4 linked regions of the Alligator mississippiensis genome follow. The protein of the gene in region 4 purifies or fractionates together with the protein of the main gene of each other region. This does not show direct contact. Links are inferred from orthologs where the notes say so. Each region holds a gene or a part of one and is shown on either strand. Other genes may lie near its edges. The genes, in order: CCT5, GSE1, EHMT1 and HDAC1.

Region 1 (7,087 bases), on a different chromosome or scaffold from region 4:
GAAGCAGAAACATACTGGAACATACAGTACTGCAATGCAAGTTCATTTATCACGTTGCTCATTTTCTACTCCTGCATGGAAAATAGTTTTTCAGTACCTTATGCTATCTTGCAAGTGCTTCCTAAACTTGACACACGTAACCAGAGCTGACATTAGGGGTGTGCAGAGCCCGGGGCACATCGGCCTGTGGGGGGCAGTGAGCAGCCAGAGCACAAAACTAATGGCTGCAGAGTAACAGCACCCCTTGTACATGCCAATGGTGTTGTCTGCAGGGCCTGTACGCCACTGTCTGCGCACCCCCCTCCCCGGGGACAGCTCTGCATGTAACAAACTATATCCTAGCAAAAAAGCAAATGAAAAGGTTCTTAGTTCACTCTCAAAATGCCTGAAGTACCAAACTCTATTTGCCAGGTTTTTCCAATGTAAACTTACACTTTAGAGCCCAGAGTTGTCTTTGCAGTCTGGATTAAAGGTTCAGTGTTCTGTGGATCAACTGGAAAGCTGTCACTGATTTTGTCTAAATGTTCAATGGCAATGCGAGCTGCCTGCTCATACCCATCTGCAATTCTCATAGGGTGAATACCACGATCTAACATCTGTTCAGCCTGCTCCAACAGAGTACCAGCCAGAACTATAAAACAAAATTCAGACGAGTTACTGTCACTGAACATTTTAAATGATTTCGACTTACAAGACCCTATGAGCACATAAAGATTTGGGTTAATAGACCTGCTGCTGCAATGTTACAGTTTAAATGACACAGAAGTTTAGAATACATCCGATGGTCATGTTCCTTGGGAAGATAACCTATTTATTTCTTTTGCTTAAAAAAAATGAGTTTGAATTTTAAAAATTGTAAAACACAAGAAAAAGTAAAACATAGAAAGGATGTATAACACTGGCTCGAAGTTTAGACTCCTGTATCAGGAAGGGCTCATTTTTTAAGAGGAGCTGCAACAAGGTCCAACATACTGAACAATTCAAAATTCCAAGCACGTTAGAGTTATTTATGCAGCCCCAGCCTCCTAAAGAAAAAGTTAAGTTTGACTGCATTCACTACATTTTAAACCAATTAGAAGTATTTTCTTACCAACAACTCCTGTTGTTCCATCCCCAATCTCATCATCCTGCGATTTAGACAGTTCTACCATAAGTTTGGCTATTTGATGATCCACGTCCATCATACTCAGAATAGTGGCACCGTCATTTGTCACAGTCACCTCACCATCCTTGTCTACCATCATTTTATCAAGGCCTGAAAAAAATATTTGCAACTTACTGCATTTTGAATATCCAAAAAACCCTCTAAAAGAGAACTACTTCAATCTTCTTCTCATACATACCATTGGGTCCAAGTGATGTTCTCAGAGTATTTGCCACAGCCTTTGCTGCCATGATATGAGACTATGAAACAAAAGTCCAAATATAAATTAAAAAACAAGTTAATTGCCTCAAAGTCACAATACTTTCCTAATGACACTACCCAAGTAAATTATATAAAAACAACCATAATGAGACCTTGATTCTACTGCCTTACAGGAGAAACTATCATAGGAACATAAGGGCATTTATACACGGTGAGGGAGTGAGTGGGGGGAGGCTGCTTTAAAAAGAGTAGCTCCAAGAGCCACTCTAATTAAAGTACCCAGAGTGTCTTGTGGATCAGTGTCCTTGTGCTGAAAAATGGCAGCGGTGGTGCTTTAATTAAAGCTTAAACAGCACTCCTGCTGCCATTTTTCAGTGGGGGAAAGTTGATACACTCTGGAGTCTGCTGAAGCCTGGTAATTACCATGCTCAAGCAGGCTCAATTTATCAAGTCTGCTCAACATGCTGAGCAGACTCCCTGTGCATGTACAGGTGCCCTAAGTAGCTTTCAATACAAGACATGCAGCACAGTTAAGCACAGGAAGGAGATCAGGCAGGGAGCAGAAATCAAAGCAGTAGAGCTGGCAGAAGAAGGGGTTTGTGGTACTTGGGGAGGGCACAGGATTAATCTATAAAATGCCTGATAAAAAGGTTGCTCCCCTTCCCCTGACCCACTTTGGACTCTCTGCCCAACTCTTGTCTTCTGCTTCCTACCCTACCTGCTGCTGTACTGCTTGTCCCCTCCCTCATCTGCTGCATGCCCCAGAGAGGCCATCTGTCTACCCCAGTCTAAGAGAATCAGTGTTTCATGACAGCATAATAAAAAGAAAGCTGCTAACACGGATATTCCTCTACTGCCCAGGAGGCAGCATGGTACCCATAGACCAGAAAGTCACAATCAAGGTGCTACAGCACCCGGGGGGGAGGAAGGGTCTCGAGATCTGCTATGGGATGCTAGGCAGCACTAGCCATTAGATATGCAAACACGCAACATCAGAGAAACCCAGAGATTTCAAGCAGGAGTCCAGTGTTGAAACCACTCTGCGGGCCCACACTTTTTGGAACAAAAGCTCGGCTCTGGCATTCTTCGGTGGGCAAGAAAACAGGAGTGCAACCTAGGTGCTGGCATTTGCCTGGGGGCTCCGATAATAACCAGGCACGTGGATGCAAACCCCCAGGGCCTACATGAGAGAGCCCAGGTACAGACAGGCTCCTGCCCAGCACCGCTGGCGGCATCTCAGAGAGCAGCAGCAGCTCCAAGCACGTGGGCACCGCCACCAGCTAGCCACGCTCTTAAATGGAGCCGGCGCGCTCGGGTCCAGCGCATGCGCAGACCTCCACGAATCCCCCCCCCGCAGCAGAGTGGAAGCAGCCCCTGGGACCCCGGCTCGGGCCCTGCGCATGCGCGGAAGCGGAGGGGGGAAGCAGGCCGCGGCCGCCGGGCCCGAAGGCCCCCCCGGGCGGGGCGCGGGGCACTTGCCTTGAGGGCGTCCAGCCCCATGAGGCGGCTCTTGCGGTCCTGATCCTTGAGGATGAGGAAAGGCCGCCCGTACTCGTCAAAAGCGAGAGTCCCCATGGCCGACATAATGTCGCTGCCGCCGCCCTACACCAAGCAGAACCCAAGCACACACCGCCCCTAGCCCCACCCCCTCCGCGGGATGTCACTCCGCGCCTGCGCAACCGCCTCGCCCAGGCAGGGTTTGTGGCCCGTGACTAATGTGGCGCCCCCGCCGAACCCTTCTGGAAGCGTCGGAACGGGGGAGGCGTGGCTGTTGCCCAGGCCCCGCCCTTCCCGGGGGAAATACCACTAACGGAATCGCCCGTCGCAGCCACTGCGCGGGCTCTGCAGCCCACGGGGAGGGAGACGGGGTCGGAGCCTTGTGTGAGTAGGGAGGGGACAGAGGTGCGAGTACTGCACTCCCAATAAAATCTACCCAAACCATTTCCTTCCCCCCCGCGCCGGATGGTATCGCCCGTGCCGCAGTGCCCGGATGTGGCGGGGCCTGCAGCCTCGCGAGACCTGCGCGGGAGGTGAGTGGTGGCAGGGGAGGGTTTCGTAGGTAGCAACTTGAGCCATGGGTAAACTCGGGGAAACCCATATTTGGAGCCAGCGTTAGCACTGAAGCGGGCTGTGCCCGAGGTAGGAGCGACTATCTCACGTCGAGAGAAGGCACGCGCGCGGTTGTGGACCGCGCATGCGCAGTACAGACGCTCAAGTTCCGTGGCCCTCCTACCGGGCCGCTTTCTTCAAGCATGCGCAAGCGCGGCACTTCAGCTAAGCGGCTCAGTGTTTTCCCGCCTCAAGGACCCTCTCCAGGGCGGGCAGTTGCCCTTTATTGGCTCGCGGACGTTCTGGCCCCGCCCCCTGCCCTGGTCCTTGTGGTGCCCGCTGTGTGGGGGGGCTGCTATGAGCTTTGCCAGGAGTTGCTTCAAGTGCCCTGATCTGCCCTTTCTGTCTTTTCCCTTTCTCGCAGCTCTCAGAGCCCCCCTTGCTTTCCTGAGGCAGGGCAGCTCTGCACACTCCCGCCCCGTGCTTGTGGCTGCCATAACTAGCAGCTTGGGGACGAGGCTCAGCCCCCCCCCACAATAGAACAAAGTCACAGGGGATCAGTCATGGAGCAATCTCTGGGCCCTGCTGCCAAGCACAGACTGCTGCCTGTCCCCAGGTGACAAGCATGTAGGTGGCCTGCTTACAAAACTAGTTACAGCAAAGTCTCCTGGCACTGAGCCCCACTGCCAAATTGGTCCGAACTAGAAGCAGGCAAGAAATCAGCCCACTGTGCCTTTTATCACACACGTTCCAAAATGATCTCTTTATCTTGCTAGATGCTCAGTTATACCTGTATATTCTTGCATACAACACATCCCCAAATACAGCACCTTGTTTTTTTGAAAGGCAAAGTGGGAGGGGGGGGAGCTTTTTCCAGAGTTAGGGTTTCTGAGAAGAGAGAGCTGAATCTTTAGCTATATCATCCTCCCTTTCTGGTTTAGCTAAAGCCCAAGCTGTTGCTGAAGACTGGTTGCCATGGGTGTCTTTCCATGTGCTCCAGGGTGGAGAAGGGGGGCACTTTAATTAGAGCAGCTCTGAGAGCCGCTGTATTTAAAGAACCCACAGCATCACTTGTATTCAGTGTCCCGTGCTTCAAAATGGTGGCGGGGGCACTTTAACTTAAAGCTCATTTGATGAGTTTTAGTTAAAGTGCCCCCACCACCATTTTGAAGTGCAGGACACTGAATACATATGACGCGGAGGCTGCTATAGTACGTTAATTAGCACGTGCCAGCAGACTTTATTAATCCAGCAAACATCCAGCAAGTTTATAGGTAGCTTTCCAATTTTGAAAACAGCTAAAGAAGCTGTGAAATAAGAGACCAAGACAAATGAACACACAGCAAAATTGCCCAAAGAAAGGTTAGTTTGATTAGGAGAACATCAACACCATTAAAAAGGAGAGAGGATTGTTAACATCTCTGGAGTGAAGAACAATGAGCCATTAAGTCAGTTGACTCCTTCAGTAGCCTGAATATAGATTTCCCTCACTTTATGCTGTATATGCGTTCCTGGAAAGCAGTGCATAACTCGAATTCGCATAAAGGGAACCCACTTTACAATGTAACAAATAGGGATATGTTCCAAGACCTTGACTGTACTGACCCCCAGATCCATTTCTATCACTTTCGCAAAACAATTTTTGTACTCACCAACAGCAGACAGTACACACAAGCACTGAGCACTATCATAATGGGGATGGGAACTACAGAAACACGTGTTGCAGATAACGAGCAAGGAGAACAGCCACACAGGAGCCTATATTTTGGTGCTTGTCACTCCCACAGTGCTATGCACAAAGCAGCTGACTGCGGGTTTCCACCACACAGATCGCATAAGAGTGAATTTACCTTGCATATAACGAATTGTTGGTATAAAAAGGGTCATCGCGTAAGAGCGAATTCGCACGTACAGAACCCACAAAAAATGAGGGAAACCTGTAGTAATACTCAAGTTGCTACACTGTGGAGCAGAATCACAGTAGGGTGCTTGTATCTCCAGCCAGAAACATAGCTTTTTTGCTTAAAACGTACCCCAATGGGGGGTCTGATTTTTTGGGTAAAAGGTGTATGTCGTGTTTGAGAAAGTATGGTAATTTCAGTAAATTAGTGTTTATAGTACCAACTGGCCCTTTTAATATGTGAAAGCAAAGTGCAAGAGATCAAAAATCAAATGTCTGCATATTTTTGGTTTTTGAAATAACATATGTACTTTATTGTTGCAAACCTAACATTTGTTAAACTACCTTTTACCATAAAATGCATACAGCATACTGATCATATAAATTTGTATACTGTCCAGTAAAATTGTAGTGGCATTTAAAATATCATTTTGGGTAAAGAAAGGTACAAATTAATAGCAATTGATAGAGGATCGTTCATGGTGCATTGTTGTTATGAAATCTGCATGATCAACCCAACAGTGTCTCATTTCTCATCTGCTTATAGCCACATCCGTAAAACTTAACTGTGGACCAAAAAGGTGAGTATGTATTGGAGAGAGTATTTTTTTTTTAATCATGTGTTTGCTATTGTAAGTCTCTCTTACATGATTACAAAACACCATTTCAGTATGAATGATGATTTGGGGCAGGGATGGCTAATCTGCAGCCTGGGGGCTGTAAGTGGCACGGACAACTTCCGTGTGTGTCATGTGGCAGATTGAGGAAGGAACAGGCAGCACAGTGACAGATAGGCCAGGGAGCAGCATGGAGCATAGGGAAGAGCAGAAAGCTGAGCAGCACATTGGGTAAGGGAAAGGGATCGGAGTGGCACTGGGGGTGTGTGCTGGGCTAATTTGTGCCATTTCTGCCAAAACGTTTAGCTCCCATTGATTTGAGGACTCTTGCCATAGCTTTCAGTGGTTACAAGGTTACAAACTCTTTGGGTTTGTCTTTGATACAGGCTGCCTGTAGGCACCCAGCAGCCACCACAGGGAAGCCACTAGAGCATGTCTCTGCTTGCGCAGTTTCTGGCAGGGGCACTCTGGGAGGCATCAGCTGGTAAAGGTGCCTCAGCAGTTGGCAGAAAGTGCGGGCACATCTATGTATGCTTTTGGGCAAAAACCTTTTGTAATTTACAGAAGTGGTGCTGCTCTGCCAGCAGAAATAAGGGACCTTGCTGCTGCAGGGGTACTGAGTGTGGCAATGCTAATGGTTTGGATGACAACACTATGTAAAGTTGGCTAGGCTGTATATATATCTTTGCCAAGCTGCTGGCTCCACTTTGGATTTGTGGGCTTGTTGTTACTAACTTTTTCTCTTCTATTCTTTACTGTTTTCAGTGTTGGCCTGACACTCTAGAGGTTGGTAGCACAGACTGAGTAGTAAGTAGGCCTTAAATGGAGGTGGTCTGGTATTCACGTGCAAATGCTGGGTAAGAAGCTGGGTTTCATTGAGCAGAGCTGTCGTTCTTCCCGGCCTCCACCAGGGAAAACCTTATCTTAGCAATAAAGTTACCCAACAGGCTTGTCAACTCTCCCCCCTCCCACCACCACCACATTTGCCCTGCAATGAGGACTAATCAGATTGTCACCTGACAGAAAGACTGGAAGTATAAAAAGGCAGGAGCTAAGATGCAGCCATGTTCATCAGCTCATAGTGTGGGGGTACTGCTCACTCCAGGAGGGCTGGCAAGAAATATTCCTCAGCTTCTGCAGTTCTTGAGACACAGG
Region 2 (6,826 bases), on a different chromosome or scaffold from region 4:
ACTTGGGCTAATTCAGATCAACACTCCCGTGTAGGCAAGACCCCACGCCTGCAAAACAGTTGCAAGGAGGTATCTATCCTCATTTCACAGGCGAGCGAAACCAGGCGAGCGAAGCCAAGCAGAGAGAGCCAGGAACAGATTTCCTCGCTCCCAGGCCCGCTCCGCTCCATACCCATCTCTCCAGACGAGCTACTTTATAATTAGCCTGCGATGAGCGGCACGGACTCAAAAGGGATCTCGTTCCAGCTGATGGAAAAATAAGGTCCGGGCAAACAAGCTGGCAATTTCCACAGTAACCTTTCCCTGCTGGAAGGGGATCCTGCAGCTGGTCTGGGAGCCGGCAGCTCTAACAGGAAGACCTGGATCTAACGGCGGGAGCACGGACTACACGGCGATTATTTTCCCACCCGCGCGGGCCCACTGAAGACCTGCTGCCCCCCTCCCCGCTGCTGATGAGAATCAGATGAGGCATCGCTCTTCATCGCAGCATGCAGGCTGGCGCCCCGTAGGAAGGAGAATCCCAGGCGGTTTTCGTGGCCCCTGCACATCTGACTTGCAAAGACAGGCTCGTTCCCACAGGGAAAAGCAGATGGCGCGAGGAACACCTCCCCCTGCCCCAGAAAGCCGATCCGGGCAGCAGCAAGCGGTCTGCCTGCTGCCAGGACTCGCGTTCCTTGGATGGGAAACTTTGCTGCAGCTTCTTGCGAACACCCACATCGCTCGATAATGCTGCTCCTAGGAGAGGGCCAGCTTCCCCAGGCCCTCGGCTACCGGGGGCAGGCCTGCCCCTTGAAGGCTCTCCGGGCTGGGACAAAGGGAGGGAGACACTCGCTGCTCTGCCTGACCTGGCAACGGCTGCGGTTCTGGCCTGAGAACAGATCCGGCACACGGGCAGACTTGCACCAAAGCAGCTGGCACGAATGCTGGCTGCATTTCTTAGCACAGCCCCTCGCAACTACGGCGGTGACCCCACGAGGAAGCAAGGTCCCCCCCAAGACCGGCTGGCAACAAAGCACCCCAGAGGCGTTTACCTCCTGGATCAGATGAACCAAAAAAGCACCCACCGCTGAAACCAAGTGCCCGACCGTCCCACCCACCCCAACTTCAGGGAAATCGAGGCAGGAGGCCCTTACCTTGGGGAGGGTCATCGGAGGTGGTGCAGCCAGCAGGTCCGGGGGCATCATGCTCTTGCCAGCCAGGACCACCGCCCTGCAGTCCGGGCATGCTCCAATAATCAGCTGCTTCCCGTCGTCCACCAGCAAGCTGTTGGGTACCCGGAGCGTGTAGAGGAACACGGGGAGCCGGGCCACGCACACGGCCCTTAATCCGAGGCATCGCTTCTTCTCCTGGCGACAGAAGAAGCAGACGAAGGTCTCCACTTTGTACTGCCGGGACCAGGCGCTGCTGGGGTGGTGGGTGTTGCGGCCCTCGTGCTGCGCCCACTGGCCCAGCAGGTCGTGGTAGCAGAGGACGCAGGTGGACACCAGCCCCGTGGCATCGGCTGGCCTGGCCCGTGGGGCTGGGGGGTAGACCGTGAGGAAGGGGAAGAAAGGCTCCTTCTCCCCAAAGCGCCCGGGGGGGTTCACGTTGAGCTGGAACTCCTTGCCAGTGCCCAGCTCGGCCCCGCAGATGTAGCAGAAGGAGGCCAGGCTGGGCTTGGCCACTGGGTGCCCGGCTGCGTCGGTGCCAGAGAAAACTTGGTGGTACCTGCCCAGGAAGCTCTGCACGGAGGTGATGAGCTCCTCGTCGCGGCAAGCCCGGTACATGGCCCACAGGTCCTGCAGCACCCCGTAGCACTTGCGGCAGCTGCTCACCTCCCAGTGCTTGCTCAGCCCCTTGGCGCCGGGCGGGCAGGGCAGCAGGCTGAGGAAGGGGAAGTGCATGGCACTCTTGGCATTCCCGTTGGCGATCTTAGCTGAGACCGGCCTGGCCTCCTTGCCGCAGCCCTCGCCGCACAGGTAGCAGGCTTCCGGTGGCCCGGCCTCGCCCCCGGGTGCCCGGTGCACGCCGGCGCCCAGTGGCACCACGTAGAGCCGCTGCAGCACGGGCACGCCGGCCAGTTCGAAGCCCTGCCACTGCTGCATGAGCGACGCGAAGCACCCGGGGCACACCAGCGTGCTGCCCGCCGCGTTAATGGGCCGGGCACCGGCCGGCGGGCTGTGCAGCCACAGGAAGGGGAAGAAGGGCGCTTGGGCCGCCTGCTCCTGCTTCTGCACGTGCACGGGGCGCTGCGCTCCGGGAGGCAGCGGGACCCCGCAGATGTAGCAAGCGGGCACGGGGGGCCCGTCCTCTTCCCACGCCAGGCGCCCGGCGCTCATCTCCGGCGCCCGCGGCTCAGACAGGGAGGACAGCTCGGAGTCGCTGCCTTCCTCCTCCTCCTCCTCCACCACCTCCTCGTCGTCGTCCTCGTCCTCCTCCTCCAGCGGCTGGCTGCTGCTGGTGCTGCTGGCCCGGCTGCGCCCAGCGGGCAGGCTCCAGGCGGGCGCGGCGCGGCGCTGCCCGGTGCTGCTGGGCTCGCCCTGGTGCGGGCGCTTGAGCCAGTACATGCGCTTGTCCAGGGGCGTGCGGCTGCGCTCGAACGCGTCCCACTGCTCGCCCAGGAAGCAGCGGCACACGGCGCACACCAGCGCGCAGCCCTCCGCAGACACCCCGCGCGCCCCGGGCGCCGGCTCCTGGTGCTGCAGGAACGGGAAGAAGGGGCCGCGCTCCCGCTCCCGGCCCCGCTCCCGCTCCCGCTCCCGCTCCCGCTCGCGGGGAGGCTTCACCTGCAGCTTCAGCGCCTGGCCGCGCCCCATGGCCCCGCCGCACACGAAGCAGCGCAGCCCGGCACCGCCGTCCTCCTCCTCCGCCGCCGCCGCCGCCGCCGCCTCCCCGTCCTCCGCCGGCCGCTCCAGCGCGGCCATGAGCCGCTGCTTGCGGGACACCGGCGCCTCGCTCATCGCGCCGGGGGGGCCGCTGCCCGGCGCTAACTTTGTCCCCGCAAGAAGTTTGGCCGCCGGCTCCGCAGCGCCATCCCCGTCCCCGCCCCGGCCCCGGCCCCGGCCCCGGCTCCTCCTCCCCGCCGCGCCGCGCCGCGCCGCGCCGGGCTGCGGGCGGAGCCGCCTGCCCCGCGATACCTTTATGGCGCGCTTGACGGAGCGGGCAGCAGCGGCAATGCCCAGCCCCGGCCCGGGGCGCCTCGCGGGTGCGCTGGGACGCGCCGTCGGTGTCCGCGCCTGCACGCGTTACCTTTATGGCGCGCTGGGACGGGGTGAAGGGCCGCCCCTGCCTCACGGTGCCTTTAGGATGTGCTAGGACACAATGTCCGTGCCCCTACCCGCGTTACTTTTATGGCACAGTGCCTTTAGGGTGTTCTAGGACACGCTGTCTGTGCCCCTGTGCACGTTACCTTTATGGCACAGTGTCTTTAGGATGTGCCCGGACACAACGTCCGTGTCTCCACGTGTTACCTTTATGGCACAGTGCCTTTAGGATGTGCTAGGACACAATGTCCATGCCCCTGCACACGTTACCTTTATAGCACGGTGCCTTTGGGATGTTCTAGGACACTATGTCCATGTCACCGTGTGTTACCTTTGTGGCGCAGTGCCTTTAGGATGTGCTAGGACACAATGTCCGTGTCGCCACGTTACCTTTATGGCACGGTGCCTTTAGGATGTGCTAGGACACTATGTCCGTGTCACCGCACATTACCTTTGTGGCGCAGGGCCTTTAGGATGTGCTAGGACACTATGTCCATGCCCCCGTGTGCATTACCTTTATGGCACAGTGCCTTTAGGATGTGCTAGGACACTATGTCCGTGTCTCCACATGTGTTACCTTTATGGCACAGTGCCTTTATGATATGCTAGCACACACCATCACATGTCCATGCCCCCACATGCATTACCTTTATGGCGCACTGGGATGGGGGTGGTCACTGCTGCTGCACGGTGCCTTTATGATATGCTAGGACACGCCATCAAATGTCCATGCCCCCACGTGTGTTATTTTTATGGCACACTGGGACGGGGGGTGGCCATCCCTGCCAGGCAGTGCTGTTATACTACGCTAGGACATGCCATAAATGCCCACACCTCCTGTGTGTTACTTTTATGGCACACTGGGATGGGGGTGTCGCACCATGAATGGCCACCCCTGCCAGGCAGTGCCTTTACTTTGCGCTTGGACATGCCATAAAGTCCACACACCCCATGCATTATGTTTATGGTGCACAGGGACAGGGATGTTGTGCCGTGAATGGCCACCCCTGCCGTGCAGTGCCTTTATGATGCACTAGGACACACCATAAATGCCCACACCCCACATGCATTACCTTTATGGCGCACTGAGATGGGGTGGGGGCAGGTGTCACAACATGAATGTCCATCCCTGCATGGCCCCTGCTGTGCAGTGCCTTTCTGATGCACTACAACAAGCCATAAATGCCCCATTCCTGAATATGTTACATTTATGGCGCACTGGGACAGAAGGTGTCGCACTGTAAATGTCCGCCCCCACATGGCTCCTGCCACGTTGCACCTTTATGATGCACTGGGATACACCATCAATACCCAAGCCCACATGCATTACCTTTATGGCGCACTGGGACTGGTGTGTCATGCCATAAATGTCTGCCCCTGCATGGCCCCTGCCGTGCAGTACCTTTCTGATGCATTACAACAAGCCATCAATGCCCACGCCCACATGCGGTACCTTTATGGCACACTGGGACGGGTGCATCACACTGTAAATGTTTGCCCCTGCCATGCAGTACCTTTATGATGTGCTACAACACGCCATAAATGCCCACACCCACGTGCATTACCTTTATGGTACACTAGGATGGGTGCGTCACACCATAAGTGTCTGCCCCTGCTTAGCCCCTGTCACATGTAACCTGTATTGTGCACTAAAGCAGGCACATCGTACCATGAATGACCACAGCTGTACAGCGCCTGCCACACGTTACCTTTATGACACACTAGGATGGGCTATAAATGTCCACAGCTGCATGGCCCCTGGCATGCATTACCTTTATGGCACGCTGGGACGCTTGTGTTGTGCCGTAAATGTCCGCCCCTGCATGGCCCCTGCCACACGTTAACTGTATCACTCATTAAGACGTGTGTATCACACCATAAATGTCCACACATGCACAGCCCCTGCCACGCATTACCATTATGGCGCACTAGGACAGGTGCTTCGCGCCATAAATGTCTGCCCCTGCACGGCCCCTGCCATGCATTACCTGTATTGTGCAATGAACCGGGGTGTCACACTATAAATGTCCACCACTGCACAGCTCCTGTCATGTGTTACCTATATTGCACACTAAAACAGGGGTGTTGTGCCATAAATATCCACTCTTGCATGGCCTCTGCCATGCGCTGCCTTTATGGTGCACTAGGAAGGGTGTGTCACACCATAAACGTCCACACCTGCACAGTCCCTGCCATGCATTATCTGTATTACTTACTAGGATGGGTGTGTTGTGCCATAAATGTCCACCCCTGCATGGCCCCTGCTATGTGTTACCTGTATTGCACACTAAGATGGGTGTGTCACACCATAAACATGTGCCCCTGCCACACATTACCTGTATTGCATGCTAGGAAAGATGCATCATGCCATAAATGTCCACCCCAGCATGGCCCCTGCCATGTGTTACCTTTATTGCATATTAGGACAGGCACATTGCACCATAAATGTTGACATGTGCAACATTGTGATCCCCCCGGAAAAAGGATAGCCCCCACTCCGAAAAATAGAGCTCACTCGCTACCAGGGGAGGGCCCCTGCCACATGTTACCTATATTGTGCCATATGAAGAGTGCATCGCACCATAAATGTCCACATGTAGACAGCCCCTGTAACACGTTACCTATATTGAGACATATGACGGGTGCATTGTGCCATAAATGTCAATATGTGCAACTTTGGGATCCCCCTAGAAAAAGGATGGTACCAGCTCAAAAAAAAAAAGACTTGAAAAGGTGGGGCCCCTGCTACATGTTACCTATATTGCACAATGAACTGATGCATCGCACCATAAATTTAGACCAGCCACCTGTGGAAAGTAATGATTGTGTGATAAAGATGACTCTCCAGCTATAAAAGGAGCCAACCGGCTATAAAGTTATGCTTGAAAACGTCTAACGACTTCATAGCTGGTTTCTATTCAGCTTCCATGTGAATGTCATGATCCCACCAGAAAATTGAGGATCCCAGCTCTAAAAAAGGAGTGGACTCACTGCAAAGTCAGGGCTTGAAAAAGTGGGGTGCCTGCTACACGTTACCTATATTATGCAATCGACTGGTGCATCGCGCCGTAAATGTAGACACACGCAACACTGGGATCCCACCTGAAAAAGGATGATCCCAGCTCCCAAGAAGATCCGACCCATTACAAAGTGAGAGCTTGAAAATAACTCTATGGCTGGCAGGCAGAGGTGGAGCCCTGTGACCCGGCTACACATTACCTACTTTGCGCAAAGGAGTGGTGCATCATGCAATAAATGTTGACATGTGCAACATCACGATCCCACCAGAAAAGGCCAATCTCTCCAAAAAAAGATCTGATCTGCTCCCAAAGTGAAGGCTTGAAAATATGGAACGACTCTGCAGCTGGTGGGCAAAGGTGGAGTCCTGTCCCAGAGGCCCCTTGCTACGTTGCCTATATTGCGCAGTTCACTGCAATACATACTGACCGACCGCATGTGCAATGTCATGATGCCATCCTAAAAATGGATGATCCCCGGCCTCAAAAAGAGCCGACCTGCTACAAAGTAAGGGCTTGATAACACGGAACAGCTCCATGGCTGGTTTCTATCCAGCTTTCGTTTGA
Region 3 (7,081 bases), on a different chromosome or scaffold from region 4:
GTAGTTTTGGCTTAAAATCTTTGAACAGACCCAGGTTTCAGATTGTGAGGTAGAACATGAGTCCAGGAGCCTGCTCAGTACATTTCAGACTGGGGCTTCTCGCCCTGCAAGGTGTTCAATGGGCATTTGGTGTCTCCAGCATTGGGAATTGAGGGGGATTCAGCACCTCGCAGGAACGTACCCCCCTAAAGATTCATTGAGGGAGGAAGGAGGCATTTTAATAACTTGTTGTGAAGCTGATGAGTAATTTTTAACAACAGGGGAAAAATATGAAAGCTCCTTTTGGAATCCTAATTTATTTTTATAGACGGTTTCTCTACCCCTTAAACTCTCCTGTTCACTATGTTTTTAAGATAGCCGAAAAGAGAAAAAGCAGCTTCGGTGCTGGGTAGGGTATGAAAACAGCAAGGGAGGCAAGGCAAAATCAAAAAAACTCCTGTATTTTGCTGGACCAAATATTGGTCATCTTCTGACAGTAGAAACATTTTCCCTTCCCTCCCACTTTTATTTCTTCTTTAAAAGAAGCTGTGAAAATGACACATGTAATGGTGTAATTAAGCAAAAGCCCTTAGGAACCATGTGTGCTTTGTTGAACAAAGGTTGTCGTTCTGCTGTCTTTTTCTCTCTTTAAAATGTGAGATCCTAAAAGGATATTCAAGCCTCGAATCTCAGAACAGGCCAGAGAGCCACGAGTTTAAAAATATCTGCTAGTTTTAAGGTCCTGGGCAGAACACATTTTTAAAAAGCAAAGTGATACAGTGTCCCTAGCAAGGCAACCCACACAAGATACAGTTTGATGATGACCTTGCTTGGGTTAATTTGAGAGAAGGGGGAAAGGAAACAAATCTTAATTGAATACAAATGGCTGGGTTTTTGGTGTTGTTTATGTGCTGGTTCATTCCACTAGCAACAAATCCTTAGGAAGTCCACCTCGGTCATCTTCATGACAGCCTTTCCTGGCAAAGGTGGGGAGGAGAGATCAATGCAACGTGATTCTACTTTTCTGAAGTCACCGAATAGTTAACTTGTGTAACCATCTTCTTCCCTGGAATGTCAGTTTTCTCTTTCCATCCGTGCCTGTGCGTGCGTGCACATGTGTGTCTGTGGGGATATTTGCGTGTGGGGTACAAAAGATGGCTCCTTTTAATGTCTTGCAGGATCTGTTTAAAAAGAGGTTGTATCTGTGCTCTCCCTGACTTCCATGAAATGGCTGCAGTTTCCACAACACTAAGACGGCTGAAAGGAAATGGTCTCCTCTCTGAGCATGCTTACTGTGGCACACGGACCTGTAGAGGGAGCTAGGTCATGTGGCCAAAGCAGGACTGTTGTTCATGTGGACCAAGTAGGAAACAGAGCAAGAAGCACTGTAGCTTCCATCAAACAGTAAGCACCTTAAAACACGACTACAGCTTCGTCCTGGGCATTAAACAGTAACATGACAGCATTTGGGTCTGTCACGACACAGTTAAACTCAAGAGCTGCGAACAAGTTTGTTGTTCAACTTCACTCCTAGGTATCGTAACTGATTATCTCCATGCGATTTGCAGCTTTCCATGAAACGGTTTTAGTTCCAAAAGAAGAGATTTATTTTTTTTATTTTTTTGCTCCTGAAGCAGACATGATGCACATACCAGTGTCGCTTTAGGAGACTGGCCTTTGAATGGCAGTGTGGTGCAGCTAATGATGTGTGAGATTTTAAGGGCTGCTTAGGAGCTCATTTTTTCTCTTTGGACTTCATAAATGTAAAGAACTTGACCATAACCTCAATAACTAATGCACAAATCATGTTGGTCCTTTTGTACAGTGTCACTGTGACACTGTGAAATGTGCCTGGTAAGATGCTAATTGATTGTTTTGCTTGAGTTTTCAGTGAATTGTTGAAGTGTCCCCAATATGCTGTTTGAAAATGTGTCCGTCTGTAAGGCTTGGGAAAAGATGCTTTCAAAATGGAGGGGAGACTTGAAAAACAAATTGGCATCTGCATTAACTTCTGTTTTCCATGTATTTTTAACTTTAGCAGTGAAAACATTTCTAGCGTTGAGCTGCAGTAAGAAGTGCTGTCTTTGTGAGCCTACTGAAAGAATGAATACTGTAACATGGTTTGAGAGAAATTTTAGCTCTAAAAATGTTTTGACTATATTACCTCTTTTGCGTTTGCAGTTGTTATGAAATTCGTTGTATCCCCTTCCATATTTTTTGATGTTAGGTTTATAAATTCATGCTGCAAAGAGGGATAACAGTAGACAGACCTATTTTAGGGCTGTCTTTGGTTAGAACTACAGTATTCCTTTTGTTGCAGTGGATAATATACCTTTGTCTGTCTTGTCAGGTTTTGTTGTTTTTTGGGTGGTTGTCTTTTGCGTTTTTCCTTTTTTATATTAAAGAGGTTACCGTTACATTTCCAGTGATTGAAATAAAGGCCAGAAAAAAAATCCCATTGATATGCCTTGTAACTTAAAGCTATTTTAGAAAAACAACCCAGGAGTAAAGGTGATATCCTCACTTCCTTCTGTCACCTTAAGTTTCCTTGATCAATTTTATCCTCTCAATTTTGCCTGGCATGCTTTAACCATTTGGTAGTGAAACGTGTCTGAAGTGCTTGGAGAGAGGAAAAGAGCATCATTTTAGTAGATGCAGTGCTATGGAAGATTGCTGTTGCTGTTTTAACCATTACCACTTTGCAAATGTCTATGTGCAAGATGGTGAAGTAAATGCATGGGGTGGAGAAAATTGATATTGCTTGTTTCCAGTGTGTGATAATAGAAGATCATGACAGTCTCTTGCATTGCTAAATAAAGGGAAGAAGGGCAATCTTGTAGGATTCGCTTCACTGTGAAAACTAGAATTTAGTGTACTTGATTCTCGTGCATTGTCTAAAAGATGTAAAATTGGGCTTTTCAGCTTCTCACTGTGAATTTTCATGTGTTTTCTCCCTTTGTGCAGGCCAGGCTTTCCCTCTTCATCTCAGTTCATTGTGATGCAATATGTTGAACTAGTGGCTATTTTAATGTTGAGCCTTAAAGGGAAACTTCTTCCTCAGTCCTGCTTTGTGGGAGAATTGCATTTTTCCATGTTGAAGAACAAGCAGGAGGTACTTGACTCCATTTAAGAATTTCCCTTCTTTCTCTCTTCTCTTCCATCCTCCCTTCCCCCTTTCTTGTGGGAGGTGCTCCAGAAAATATTAAACATAAAGAAACCCACGTACGTTGGCATTGTGATAAATATGTCACTTTTTGCATTTGAATCCAGTCCAGCTGATCTCTGCTTACAGATGTTCCTGCGAGTTGCTCAGGCAGTTTTACTGGGAGCTATAGCAGATATGAGGGTTGCCAAGACTTTGTGCTTAATTGTGAAACGGAACAGAGACAAACTACTTGTGATTTTGAAGCTAAAATTTCTTCTTTTATCCTGCTAGCTGGGCCAGTTGTATCTTATGGTTCGACATAGGCTCAGCTCAGGAAAGTATTAGGTGCAGTACTTCTATCAGTTCATTCGCTTTTTTTTCTTTTTGATGATTATGTTTCTGATACGTTTTTAAGGTTGGTAACGTAAGCTCACATTGTATTATAAATCTCTGAAGTGAAAAATTGACGGCCCTTCAACTCAGCGGATCAAATCTCAAATTCACTTTCAGTTGGACACTGTACATTTGCTGATTGACCCACGTGCATTTATCCCAGCATTCAAAAGGCGCACAGTTTTATTAAGCAGAATATAATTAGCACATGCGCCCTCAAATGTAAATGCTAATAGGCAGCATCTCTTTTTCATAGGCAAGGAAGGGCTACTCTTGAAGGCCACTGTAACAGAACACATTGTTGCATGGTTTTTAAGGGGGGTTTTCAGGCTATGATCAGTCTTAGGCTTGGCATTGTGTCAGAATGTTGACAGATTATCTTTATTAACTGTGTATTGTACCAGGACAGACGCTGTATCCCTCTGATGCCTTAGATAACAGTTGCTCCAATGGAAGCCCTTAAGTCTGCAGGTTCTCTGTGAAATGGCTGCAGCTTGGAGTGAACAGTGAAATGGTCTCCACTGGGCATGCTCACTCTGTAGAGGGAGCTTTTATCACATGAGCAGAAACTGAATCACTGTTCATGAGGATCTGGAATATGCAACTCTTTGAGTCTTCATCAAAAGAAGACAACAGATGTCTGCAGGTACAGTAACTTGTAGTGTCCATGCTCCATATGTCATAAATAGCAGATTCCCTCAGGTTGTGTCCGCAGACAGACTATTGTCAGGTAGAAAAGGAGAAACCTTTGAGAGGAGGAAGACAGTTAAGATAATCATGGCTGGATTTTGTATTTATTTTGTTGTCCTATGCAAGAAAGAACAGCACAGCAGAAATGTGTGTATTGCCTAGTGAGACAGCAGCGTGCAGGATGGGGTGTGGGCTTTCTTTCAAAGGAGGAGATTTAGAGAGTGGCCAGGGCAGGCGCATGCTTTGCAGACTTTCTGGCTGCTGTGATGACTGTTTTGTTCAGTAAACTTGTACACAGTTCTGAGTCTTAAATGATATGTGTCTGTCTAAGGAAGCTGGCACTCCGATTCTACAAATCCAGTGAGTGTCTACCTTGTCTTTTTGTTTGGAGGGGTGTTCCTGTTTAGCATGGAGTCTCTTTCAAGTGTTTGGTTCTACCTAGGGCTCCCCCTGCCCCTCTTTTCCATTTCATATTGGAGAAGGGGGGGTCTTTAAACTCTGGGAAGACCAAGCTTTCAAAGACAAGAGAGGGCCTGCAGAAGCATTTCACCTGCTTGCTAGAAACAGTTTGACAGCCTTGGCTGATGCCAAGCAAGCCTACAGTTCAGTTTTTGGGATGGCAGGAGGGCAAAGGTAGCCATTTATTCGGAGAGGAGAATCCTTTCTTCATTAGCCTGTCATCCAGACGAGGGACTGAGTGAACCATTGGGATTTTCTTTTATTTCATGGCAAAAGCTGCCTGCTGGCAGGCTATTTAAAATGTTGCTTAAAACTGTCACATCTCACTCTGCCATGTTGCTTTCCTGTTTACATTCTATGTTAACAGCCTCCTGGTCCTGTCTGTGATCGACAGAAATAAAGACCTTCTGAGCTAGGGTGTGTACTTCAGTCTTGACCTTCACTGTTGTCCCTTGATTATTGCAGAGCTGCCAGAACTGTGGGTGATGCTACCACCCCCTGCTGGCCTGAAAAATTTAGGCTGGAGTCTCACAGTTGTTGGTTTTAGAGAAAGCTTTTACTGTTACTTTAATAGATATTAATTTTTTATCTACGGGGAAGAAGCAAAAATGCCATCAGAAAGTAAGGGGAACGATGAGAAAAATGTCTGCCTGCTGGACTGCAAATGCTATCATGAATGTTGTCTTGCGAGTGCAGGTTGAAAGCATGTATATCAAAAATGACGGTGAAGAAACAAACAGGGTTTCTTTTAAAAACTATTGAGAAAAAGCAAATTCCTTGTCTGAAATCTTAAGCTGTAAGTTCCTTTCCAGAAACCTTGAGGTTTGAGTTGCAAATGGGCTTGTAATAAAGATGCTGAGGCAACAGAGATTACCACTGGGGCAGACATGTGTCCGTATGATATCATGACTGTAGCGCTATCAGCACGATAGACTATTCCTAAGCATTTTGAGCAGTCCAGGCATACAGACTGACCCCTGGTAAATGCCTTCAAAAGATGCTACCGTCCATCTTTATATATAGCTTTAAAATTCTGGGTCTGTCTTCAGCAGCATAGGGGTTAATAGCCATAACCTTGTGTGTTCAGGTCTTCATTTGTCCCTGTTATTTGAAACTAACCATTATGCTTCTTTTGTGTAGTCATAATGCATATGGCCTACAGTAGCCCTTCAAAAGACATGGAAATTTACTAGCCCAGATGCAATCTATTTGACTGTCCCTGTCACCGTTATACTAGGAGGACTGGGGAAGAGGGGTAAATTACTCTCAATATTTTTTTGATTGTCCCCAAACCAATGGGTAGGTCGAATTTTTCTAGTCTGATCTGTTTGCATTTCTGTACTGTTCTGTGGAAAACGCACAAAAATGTAATGCTGTTTGGTTAGATGTGGAATTCGGGATGTGCTGGAGGATTCAGCTGAATTTATTTATTTTTTAAAAATTTTTTTAGGGCATTCAGGCAACTGATTTGCAGAGGTGCTCAGTACCTGCAGCTCTTGTTGCCTTTATCTTCAGTTGAATGCTCAGCATCTTTCAGAATCATGCCCTCCATAATCAAGACTTGTCTGCTGACATTGTCACCCGAGGGTGGTCAGTGCCCTTAACTCTTCATTGAGCCAAGGGCAGTCCTCATCTTGCAGGATCAGGCTGGTTCTGCGTCTGGATATCATATGGAACACGAGCATTCGGGCTGGTTGTATTGCAGTGCTCATTTATTTCCTCTTCTCCCAGGATTTGAAACCTACCTAGTAACACTGGTATGCTGCAAGAATCCCAATGCCAGTGTGACCTTTCTTGTGTGGTACCATCTCCTAATGACAAAGGATCACATTCTTTTTGTACAATGGAAGGGAAATTTTTCATTCAGACGAATAAGGACATTTAGAGACCCTCTGCCCTCATGACCAGCAGGTTTGTGGGGTAGGAGGCAGATGGTACCTTTTTTTTTTTTATTGTTCCTGCTTTCCGCACCCCCCCTCCCTATACATTTCTTTCCTCCTGTTTCTGCTCCTGATACTTGGAAGGGTCAGACAATCAATTTGGAGACTTCTGTCAAACTGGAATGACAGAATAACCTTGCCTTTCACTTAAGGGCTAAATACTTGAAGTACTGAAAATCATATGCTAACTGCTGCAGTAGGCTTGAAGCTTGTGTTCTTCCTGTGCAATCTACCATCAGCAATTTAGAGACAAATCTCACATGTCACCCTTGCTACCTTTTTCAGAGCTTTTTTTTTTATTACTGAAAGTTTTTAGGGTTTTGAAATCAACTTCCCTTAATAGAGAAGAACCTGGAAGCTGTAACGTGATCTTCCCTTTATGTCCTGTTTCCGTCATTCTGGTATGAATTCAGCTCCCCCCCACCTCCTCCTCCCCTCCATGCTTTTTATTTGAACTTGATTTCTTGTTCTAGCA
Region 4 (7,682 bases):
AGTCTCTGGATAGACAAAGAATGACACAATCTCCACTGGAGATTAACATGATTTGGAGTGAAACTGCAGTTCTCATTGCTTACAACAGAATCTTGTATGGAGGCAACAGCACCCATGTTAAAGGTAGGGTTAATTTTAAATATAAAAAAGGCTTAAAGGTAACCAGAGAAAAAGCTAAAGAGTCTCCCTAGGGAATATTTGTGAAGCCCCAATCTAACTGCTAAACGAACAGGAGCCCAGGAGAAAACAGCCACTTGTTACAGTTATGCCCTGGGCTCTCAATTAAATACAGAAGACCGATTGTAAATGCTTTGAATTGAGGATCGTATCTTGAGGTTTTTACTTTGCTAAACAAAATTAAGTTACCAGATTTCCCTTTTACAGCAGTGGACATATCTGCCGTTTCAAGGATTTGTTTAAAGAGGAACTAAACATGGAAAATTCTAGGGTGTGACTTTAAAGCACAGTAGCTATTCCTCACTATCAGCCTTAAATAAGAGGTCTAGTTTACATTACAAAGTTCTGCAAGCAAAAATGTAAGCACTTTCACACCAAGTCTCCCTTGTGATGGCACAATTTCTCCCTTTTGCTTGCACTTACTCCACCTCTGCCAAGGAATAAGACTTCTGCTTCCACCTGGCAGCAAGCTGAAGGCCTATGTAGACAATCCAGCACCTTCTGCCAGCTGCGTAGTTTTTGCCTTGCCAGGGTGTGCTTGCACTCTCTCTGGTGGCAGGGCTGCAGAGTGGAGCTGCAAAGAGCCACAGAAGCACATCTGTGTGCACAGGCTTTCATGGTTGCCACTGTTATCTGCTGCCAGAACATGAGGTGGCCTACTTGGGCAAGGCCAGTGCATGCATGCACGCAGTAAAAAAAAAAAAAAAATGGCTACTGCAATTTAAATTCACCCCAAGATTATTCCACACTAGCTCCCCTGTGTGGAAGAGCCCTAAAATAAGATGGACTTGAAGCATGTTCAATTGCATGTTAACTGACAATAAAAAGGAATGTTTTTACCACAAGGTAACTACTGATAGTTAATTATCCAGTTTTACCAGGAGGTAAACTAGCAACATCAAATACAGTTGTCACTTAGCTACCTCGTGTGCAAACAACTAGCACGCATTAGTTATCTTGCTGGGGAGCAGGGAAGAAACACACATACTGCAGAAGGGCCTCCTAGTTCCTCACTTAATAATCAAAGAGGCTCATGCACTGATGACCAATTATATGTTTCTAAACACAAAAGGATCTCCAGACACAGACATTTTCATGCAATATCTGAATTACTTAAGTAGGTGAAGTGTTTCCTCAAGTGCAAGGAACATAAACCAGCATTTCCAGGGACCCTGAAGTTTTCATCCGAGTTTCAGCACTGGGAGCTCACCAATATTCTGATTTAATATCAAACGTGCACAGACAGAGCTGCTCAGAGCGATGGAAAGTAGAATGACGGGGTGAGGAAATCAGAATCGCATCACTGCAAATGACCTATGGTCCATGCACAGCACCAAGACGGGCATGGGGAGAACCCTGTGCAGAACACCCCTCAAGTAAAAACTATTTGTTATATATTGATGGTGGGCCTATGCCCACCAGAAACTAACAGCCCCCCTTCAATGACTAGAGCAAGGCCAATGGGACAAAAACCATGAGAAAACAGCAACGGGGTGCAGGGTGTAGGTTAATAACTAGGGTGCCGAGGGACGTCAGGCAATGGGACGCTGTGCAAAAGTCAAAGGCATGGATCTCCTGACAACATCAGCAGTTAGTACTGGAAGTTACTACACCAGAGTGATGAAAATTCCCCAATAGATACTGAATGAATTTATTTAGACAACCAAGTCTGGATGATGACTGAAAACATCCTCTGGCCCCAAAGCAAACCAAACGAGAACAGCTATTTTTAGCCAGCTTCCACTACTAAAAACATTATCATCTATAGGAGGACGACGTGATCCATTTTGTGCAGATCGATGCACCTCTCCCAAAACACCTCCCCCTGCTGGCAGACAGCCCGGCCATCCGTGCGGTAGCGAACGTGCACAGCAGAGCGACTGCAATCCCTCCCTTTGCAAGCGCAGCGGGAAAGAGCCAACTGCCTCGGTCAGCCCATTACCTGGGCAAGGCCCACGGGATGCCCAGAGCAGCACAAAGCCTGGATCCCTGCACACACGCACTACATCTACAGTCCCGCCAAGTTTTGCCAGGCCTTAAATCACAAGCCGTGTCACAGCAGCTCCCCGGTGCGGAGGGAAAGGCTGTCTCGATGCATCCTTGCACACCCAGGAGTTGTGAAGAGCTTCACTTCCTCTTCCTGCGGCACCTTCCTCAGAGACCCGCAGGCCTCCATGGGGGCTGCTCCTTCGGACCCCCTCAGGGCTCCCTTCGCCCACACAGCTCCTCAGGGCCCCCCCAAGCCAGGCCCCCGCTGGGGCCCTCCTCAGTGCCCCTGCCCCCATTACCAGGTGCCCTCAACACCACCCCCCTGCAGCCAGGCACCCCCTAGGATGTTCCTCAGTGCCCCCCTTAGCCAGGCACCCCACAGGGCACGGCTCAGTGTCGTCCCCCCCTCAGCCAGGTGTCACCAGAGCCCTCCTCGATGCTCCCCCATGCAGGCAGGCGCCCCCTAGGGGCCACCTCAGCGCCCCTCCCCCCACCAACCAGGCCCCCCCTCCCCTCAGCGCCCCTCCCCCCACCAACCAGGCCCCCCCTCCCCTCAGCGCCCCTCCCCCCCAGCCAGGGGCCCCTCCTCGGTGCCCCTCCCCCCCAGCAGCCAAGGGGCGCCCCTCCCCCCCACCATCCAGGGAGCACCCTCCGTGCCCCCCAGGGCAGCCCCCTGCAGCCCCTCCTCCTGCTGCCCCCCGCCCCGTGCACCCCGCTCGCTCACCATCATAGTAATAACAGACTTTCCGCTTGGTCCCCTGCGTCAGCGCCATTTTCCTGCCTCCCGACAGCGACAGACCCTTCGCGACTCAACCGAACCTGCCCCAGGGGCCAAGGCACCCCACAACCCACCTCCCCCCGCCCCCGCGGGACAGCCGACCTATCGGGGAGGGGCTTTAGCCCTGTGCTCTCGAGACGACCAATCAGAAGGTAGGGAAGGAGGAGCCAGGGGGCAGCATGGTAGGTAGGCAGCGAGGTTTCCTGGACTGTACCATTCAGAGAGCAAACGCCGTGGAAGGAACGGGCTGGCAGGACTGTACCAATCCCGGAGAAGGGGGGTGGACGGTTCTCTTAGGAGAGGGTCTGGGTACATCGGGATGTACCATTCTACAAGAATGGCGAAGGGGGGTCAGATAGGAGTGTACCATGCCCATGGTAGAGGCAGTCAAAGCAGACAGGACTGAACCAGTTGACCCCTGCCTCCATGGCGTGCTCTTTGCCTGCACAGGCATCCCTTGTTACTGCTTTCCCACAATGCACTGCTGCACATCTGGCCTGGCCAGACAGCCCTGTGCCTAGGGGTCTCTGGTTACCAGGGGGTGGGTGCCACAGTGCATTGTGGGAAAGCATTGCTGCACATCTGGCCTGGCCAGACAGCCCTGTGCCTAGGGGTCTCTGGTTACCAGGGGGTGAGTACAGCAGTGCATTGTGGGAAAGCACTGGGGGGGGCCCCTGGCTCCAGCTGTGTGCTTGGGAGCAATGTGTTGAACTGGTGCCAAACAAGTCAGCCATTTTGTGGTATCTCACTTCCTGGTGTGCCCAGTGCTGCCCCACGTCCCACGCCACCCTTCAGGTGCTGGCTGCACCCCTCAGCCCCTGCCACGGGCTGAATACTCCCTTGGATCCCACCTGCCCAAGCACCCTCACTTCCACTTAGCATCAATGGCTCCCTGGCTGCAGGGCCAGCCTTGCAAACTCCCTGCCTGCCCCATGAGTCGCACCAGCTCCCTGGGATGCCAGCATTGCCCGTCTGCAAATCCTAATCCTGCCGGTTCCCCTCAGCCATCCCGCCAGGTGTCACGTCTCTTGTGAAACATGAAGGGTTGCTGTGCTTAGGGTCCGATTCTGATGTGCTGAGACAACCCCTGCCCTACACTTACACAAGAGACTCAGGATCCTGGAGACTCAGACCCCAAGTAGGTTTGCTGTTGCATGATGCCCGAGCAGCAGAAGGCAGGGCCAGCTGGTCCACCACCTTTTACTCGGCATGACAGGACCCCACCCTCAGCTCTGTGCACCCCCAGCGTGTGATTAGGATGTGTTGATCTTCCTTGCCACGGATCGGATGGAGCCACATGATTACTTTGTTGTTTAATGAAAGTAAAACAGCAATACAGGACAGGGCTTTACAATGAAATGGAGAAAGAAAAATCTTACAGTGAAGATGGCTCATTCCTAAAGCAAAATTCTGGGTGGGTTTCTGGTGAGCAAGCCTTTAGTGAGACTATGCTGAAACCCTTCCTTGATGGGCCTACCTAGAGCCTCACACTCCCACCCCCACTGGTCTGGTGCCAATTCTGAGAGGGTCCAGTTCTGGATCTAACGGTGTTGTTCAAATCCATCTGTAAGTATATTATAAAATGCCAGTGTCTGGGCTTTGGGGTAACCAAAGCAGTCTTGCTGGTTGGAGCAGAGTCCTGTGCATCTCTGCTTCTCACTGGGTGAGACCATATACAGACATTGCACTTTTACCAGTCGAAGTGATTAGAAACCAGCCTATACCCATAACAGAAGTTCGACACACATAGACTGGTTTAAAACTGGCGGGCCCCAGTCTAAGATTTGCCCTCCCCCCACATCAAAAAGGGAACGTGTTCTGTTCGCTACTGACCTAACCTACGCCGCTTACTGAAAACCACGCAACTTAGGTCGCTCCCGCTTCAGGTTTTTTGAAAGTCTGTATCTAGCCTGATCTTCTGAGCTGCAATCAGCATTTTTTCTTCCTGACTGTAAACTCCTTTCTCCCTTTCATAACATGGTTGAATCTGATAACTACTTTACCAAACTCTCTAAAAGGTTGTTGGTGTGAACGGCGCTAGTCAGAGTCCAGCAGTGTGGTTTCAGAGTGAAGAAAGATGTCAGCAATGCAGAGAATGACTGCTTTGGTGACCCTGGGACCAACAGACATGGACAGTGGTGTCCTATACACCATCTTCCAGGGATCTGAGCTCTCATGTGAAGAGGTTTTGCCCCTGTTGCATTGCACAATGGGCCCTGTGTCCTTCTACAGTACCTGTGGTGAGTGCAGCTATTTGCATGCCTTGATCACAGCCCCAGCCTTGGACAGCTTCCAGTCACACAGCTGGCACATCCATGCAAAACACCTTAGCATTGATGTACCATCCATCTCCACTACAGAAAGGAATAAAAAACCACCAAAGAAATATTGCAGGGGGAACTTGGGGGTGGAAGGGACATGGGGAGTTCCACTTTGTAGCCCTTTGAGCATCTCTTTGTGGAAAATCAGTGCTGAGATGGGGTCCAGCTGATCCAGTGCAATTGTTGTTGTATTCTGAGCATTATCTGAGACTGTAAGTGAGCTGGTTCCCTATGTTATTTTCAGATCAAATTTGTGATTATAGTTGCTGAAGAGAAGTTTATAAGACTTGACAGTGCCTCTTGCTAGGAGTACACTCTCTGTATAGCATGGGTGTGTCGAGGCCCGCAGGAACGAATATGGTCTAGGCAGTGACCACCTGCGTGGCCGTGTATCTGTGTGGTTATCTGGACAGATGCATTGTGAGTGAACATAAGGCCAGTGTGCACATGGCACTGAGATGGGTAAAGTAGCACGTGCATACTTGCACAGGGAGTTCAGAAAGAGACCTAGCAGCATCTTGGGTCAAAACACTTGTCAGTTCAGTGCCTCCGGTCTGCTCTGAGGCAAGGTCTGCTGGCTGAGCGTGCTCCAGGAACACGCGTCTTTGCTATGGACGGAGGGATTGCTGAGGTCCTGCCAGCGTTTGCTGTGATCCAAATGCCAAGGCCCGATCTGCATAAAGTTTCTGAGGAGCTAATGCATAGGGGCTGTTCCCCTCCGCCCATCCTGACACGAGGATGCCTCCAGCCCCATCCTGTCATGGCTGCTGCTGGTACTGGCCCTCGGTGGCAGTAAAGAAGTCCTCGAGCACACTCTTCATGTATTCAAAGGTGGGGCGGTCCTCTGGCCTCTCCTTCCAGCATTTCTTCATCAGTTCGTACAGCTCCTCTGGGCAGTTATCTGGCTGAGGCATTCGGTAGCCCCGCTCCAAATTCTGTATCACTTCTGGGTTCGTCATCCCTGCACATACAACACACATAACAGTCAGAAACAGCCAGGGAAGGGAGCCACTTCCATATACCGGTGCTGACCTCTGCTGGGAGTAGAGGAGCATCGGCCGGCTCCTGCAGCCAGCCACCCTGCAGTGCCTTCTGCCGAGTCTGAAACCAGGGTAACTCTCGGCCCTTGCAACCACCCCCGTGTCGTAGAGCACCTTCTGCTGGTCAGTGTGGGGGCATGGAGGTACACCCAGCCCCTGTCAGCTCCAATGTCTTTTTGATCTGACTGCAGGCACAGGCTGCACTGCTGTGAAAAATCCTAACCTGGATAGGGGATCCGGCCATAGGTGATGATCTCTGTGAGGAGGATCCCAAAGGACCAGACGTCAGATTTGATGGTGAATGTACCATAATTAATAGCTTCGGGTGCCGTCCACTTAATGGGGAATTTGGCTCCTGAAAATACACAAGGAGAAAGAGGGACGGGGGATAGGAGAAGGAAGAAGGTCACTGCTGTTGCCCTAAACCCACAAAGCTGATGTGCGGGCTTGAACGTCACCTGCATATCCCTTTGCGCCCTGCCCTCACTGAAACTCCCTTGGCGTGGTGCACCCACAGCCCTGGCATGTCTTGCCATCACTGGGCTCTTAATGATGCCTATTCCTGAGATAGCCACCAGATAGGGCTCTAGTCTCAGACTGATGTGGATTACTGGGCAGGCTTCCTGCAACTAATGCCAAGCACAGCATCCCCTCTGCTCCAGAGAATGTATTAGAAATGTCTCTAGCTGCTGCTTTCACAGGTCTGAGGGGGCCTCCGTTTCTCCTAGCCCCAGCCCTAGCTATTCCTTTCACTAATTTCTATGTCCCTTTCTGCAAAAAGCAGCAGTCCCACTGTCACGTGCCCCACCTCAAAGTCCCTCCTGCCCCATGCTAGGGGAAGCTGTCTTTCCCTCACTCCTTCAGGGATGCCCTCTTAGGCCTGGGTTACCTCTGTACCTAGCACAGCGATTCTCAAACAGGGTGCTGCAGCACCCTGGGGTGCCTTGAGATCCATTCAGGGGTGCTGCAGAGTGCCATACCATGCTAGGTGTGCAAACAGGATTCACAAGATAAACCCAGAGATTTCAAAGAGGAATCTCCAGTGGAAAAGGCACTCTGACCTGTTGTGGTCTTCCTGAATTCTTTGCAACAAAAGAATTGCTCTGTTTGGGGTTTTGTCCTGCAGTCAAAAATCAAGTGAAAACTAAGAGCAAAAGGTGCCTTAAGTCTAACAAGGGGTGCCTTGAGCGCAGCCCCCTGCCCATTATGGCCTCGCTCTCTGCTCTGGGGGCAGAAGTGACACCAGCCTGTTCCTATGAGAACCAGGCAGGTGATGCTCTCCCAGGTCACAGGCAGCAGTGCATGGGGCTTGGGGTCTTGGGATGATGCAGTTTGCCTCTGCAGGCCCCAGCTGCCCGGCTCAGGTCGGCTCTGCAA

Evidence for each region.
Region 1: the proteins of HDAC1 (region 4) and CCT5 purify together in Homo sapiens (affinity purification with mass spectrometry; 3 studies listed by BioGRID and IntAct, counting the BioPlex papers as one, with this or other methods). This does not show direct contact. The link is inferred for Alligator mississippiensis from reciprocal best matches to the Homo sapiens genes HDAC1 and CCT5.
Region 2: the proteins of HDAC1 (region 4) and GSE1 purify together in Homo sapiens (co-immunoprecipitation; 7 studies listed by BioGRID and IntAct, counting the BioPlex papers as one, with this or other methods). This does not show direct contact. The link is inferred for Alligator mississippiensis from reciprocal best matches to the Homo sapiens genes HDAC1 and GSE1.
Region 3: the proteins of HDAC1 (region 4) and EHMT1 purify together in Homo sapiens (affinity purification with mass spectrometry; 4 studies listed by BioGRID and IntAct, counting the BioPlex papers as one, with this or other methods). This does not show direct contact. The link is inferred for Alligator mississippiensis from reciprocal best matches to the Homo sapiens genes HDAC1 and EHMT1.

What each region holds. Positions count from the first base shown.
Region 1 is NC_081826.1:139,954,798-139,961,884, reverse strand, and holds the start of CCT5 (T-complex protein 1 subunit epsilon), read right to left. Parts: upstream 3,015-7,087; 5' UTR 2,951-3,014; coding exon 2,846-2,950; intron 1,405-2,845; coding exon 1,344-1,404; intron 1,256-1,343; coding exon 1,091-1,255; intron 632-1,090; coding exon 433-631; intron 1-432. UniProt on the Homo sapiens protein: Component of the chaperonin-containing T-complex (TRiC), a molecular chaperone complex that assists the folding of actin, tubulin and other proteins upon ATP hydrolysis.
Region 2 is NC_081833.1:73,915,045-73,921,870, forward strand, and holds the start of GSE1 (genetic suppressor element 1), read right to left. Parts: upstream 3,016-6,826; 5' UTR 2,940-3,015; coding exon 1,134-2,939; intron 1-1,133.
Region 3 is NC_081835.1:51,864,164-51,871,244, forward strand, and holds the start of EHMT1 (histone-lysine N-methyltransferase EHMT1), read left to right. Parts: upstream 1-4,061; 5' UTR 4,062-4,100; coding exon 4,101-4,163; intron 4,164-7,081. UniProt on the Homo sapiens protein: Histone methyltransferase that specifically mono- and dimethylates 'Lys-9' of histone H3 (H3K9me1 and H3K9me2, respectively) in euchromatin.
Region 4 is NC_081829.1:5,643,509-5,651,190, reverse strand, and holds the start of HDAC1 (histone deacetylase 1), read right to left. Parts: upstream 3,011-7,682; 5' UTR 2,940-3,010; coding exon 2,891-2,939; intron 1-2,890. Other genes in the region: tyrosine-protein kinase Lck, read right to left, coding at 6,024-6,226, 6,529-6,660. UniProt on the Homo sapiens protein: Histone deacetylase that catalyzes the deacetylation of lysine residues on the N-terminal part of the core histones (H2A, H2B, H3 and H4).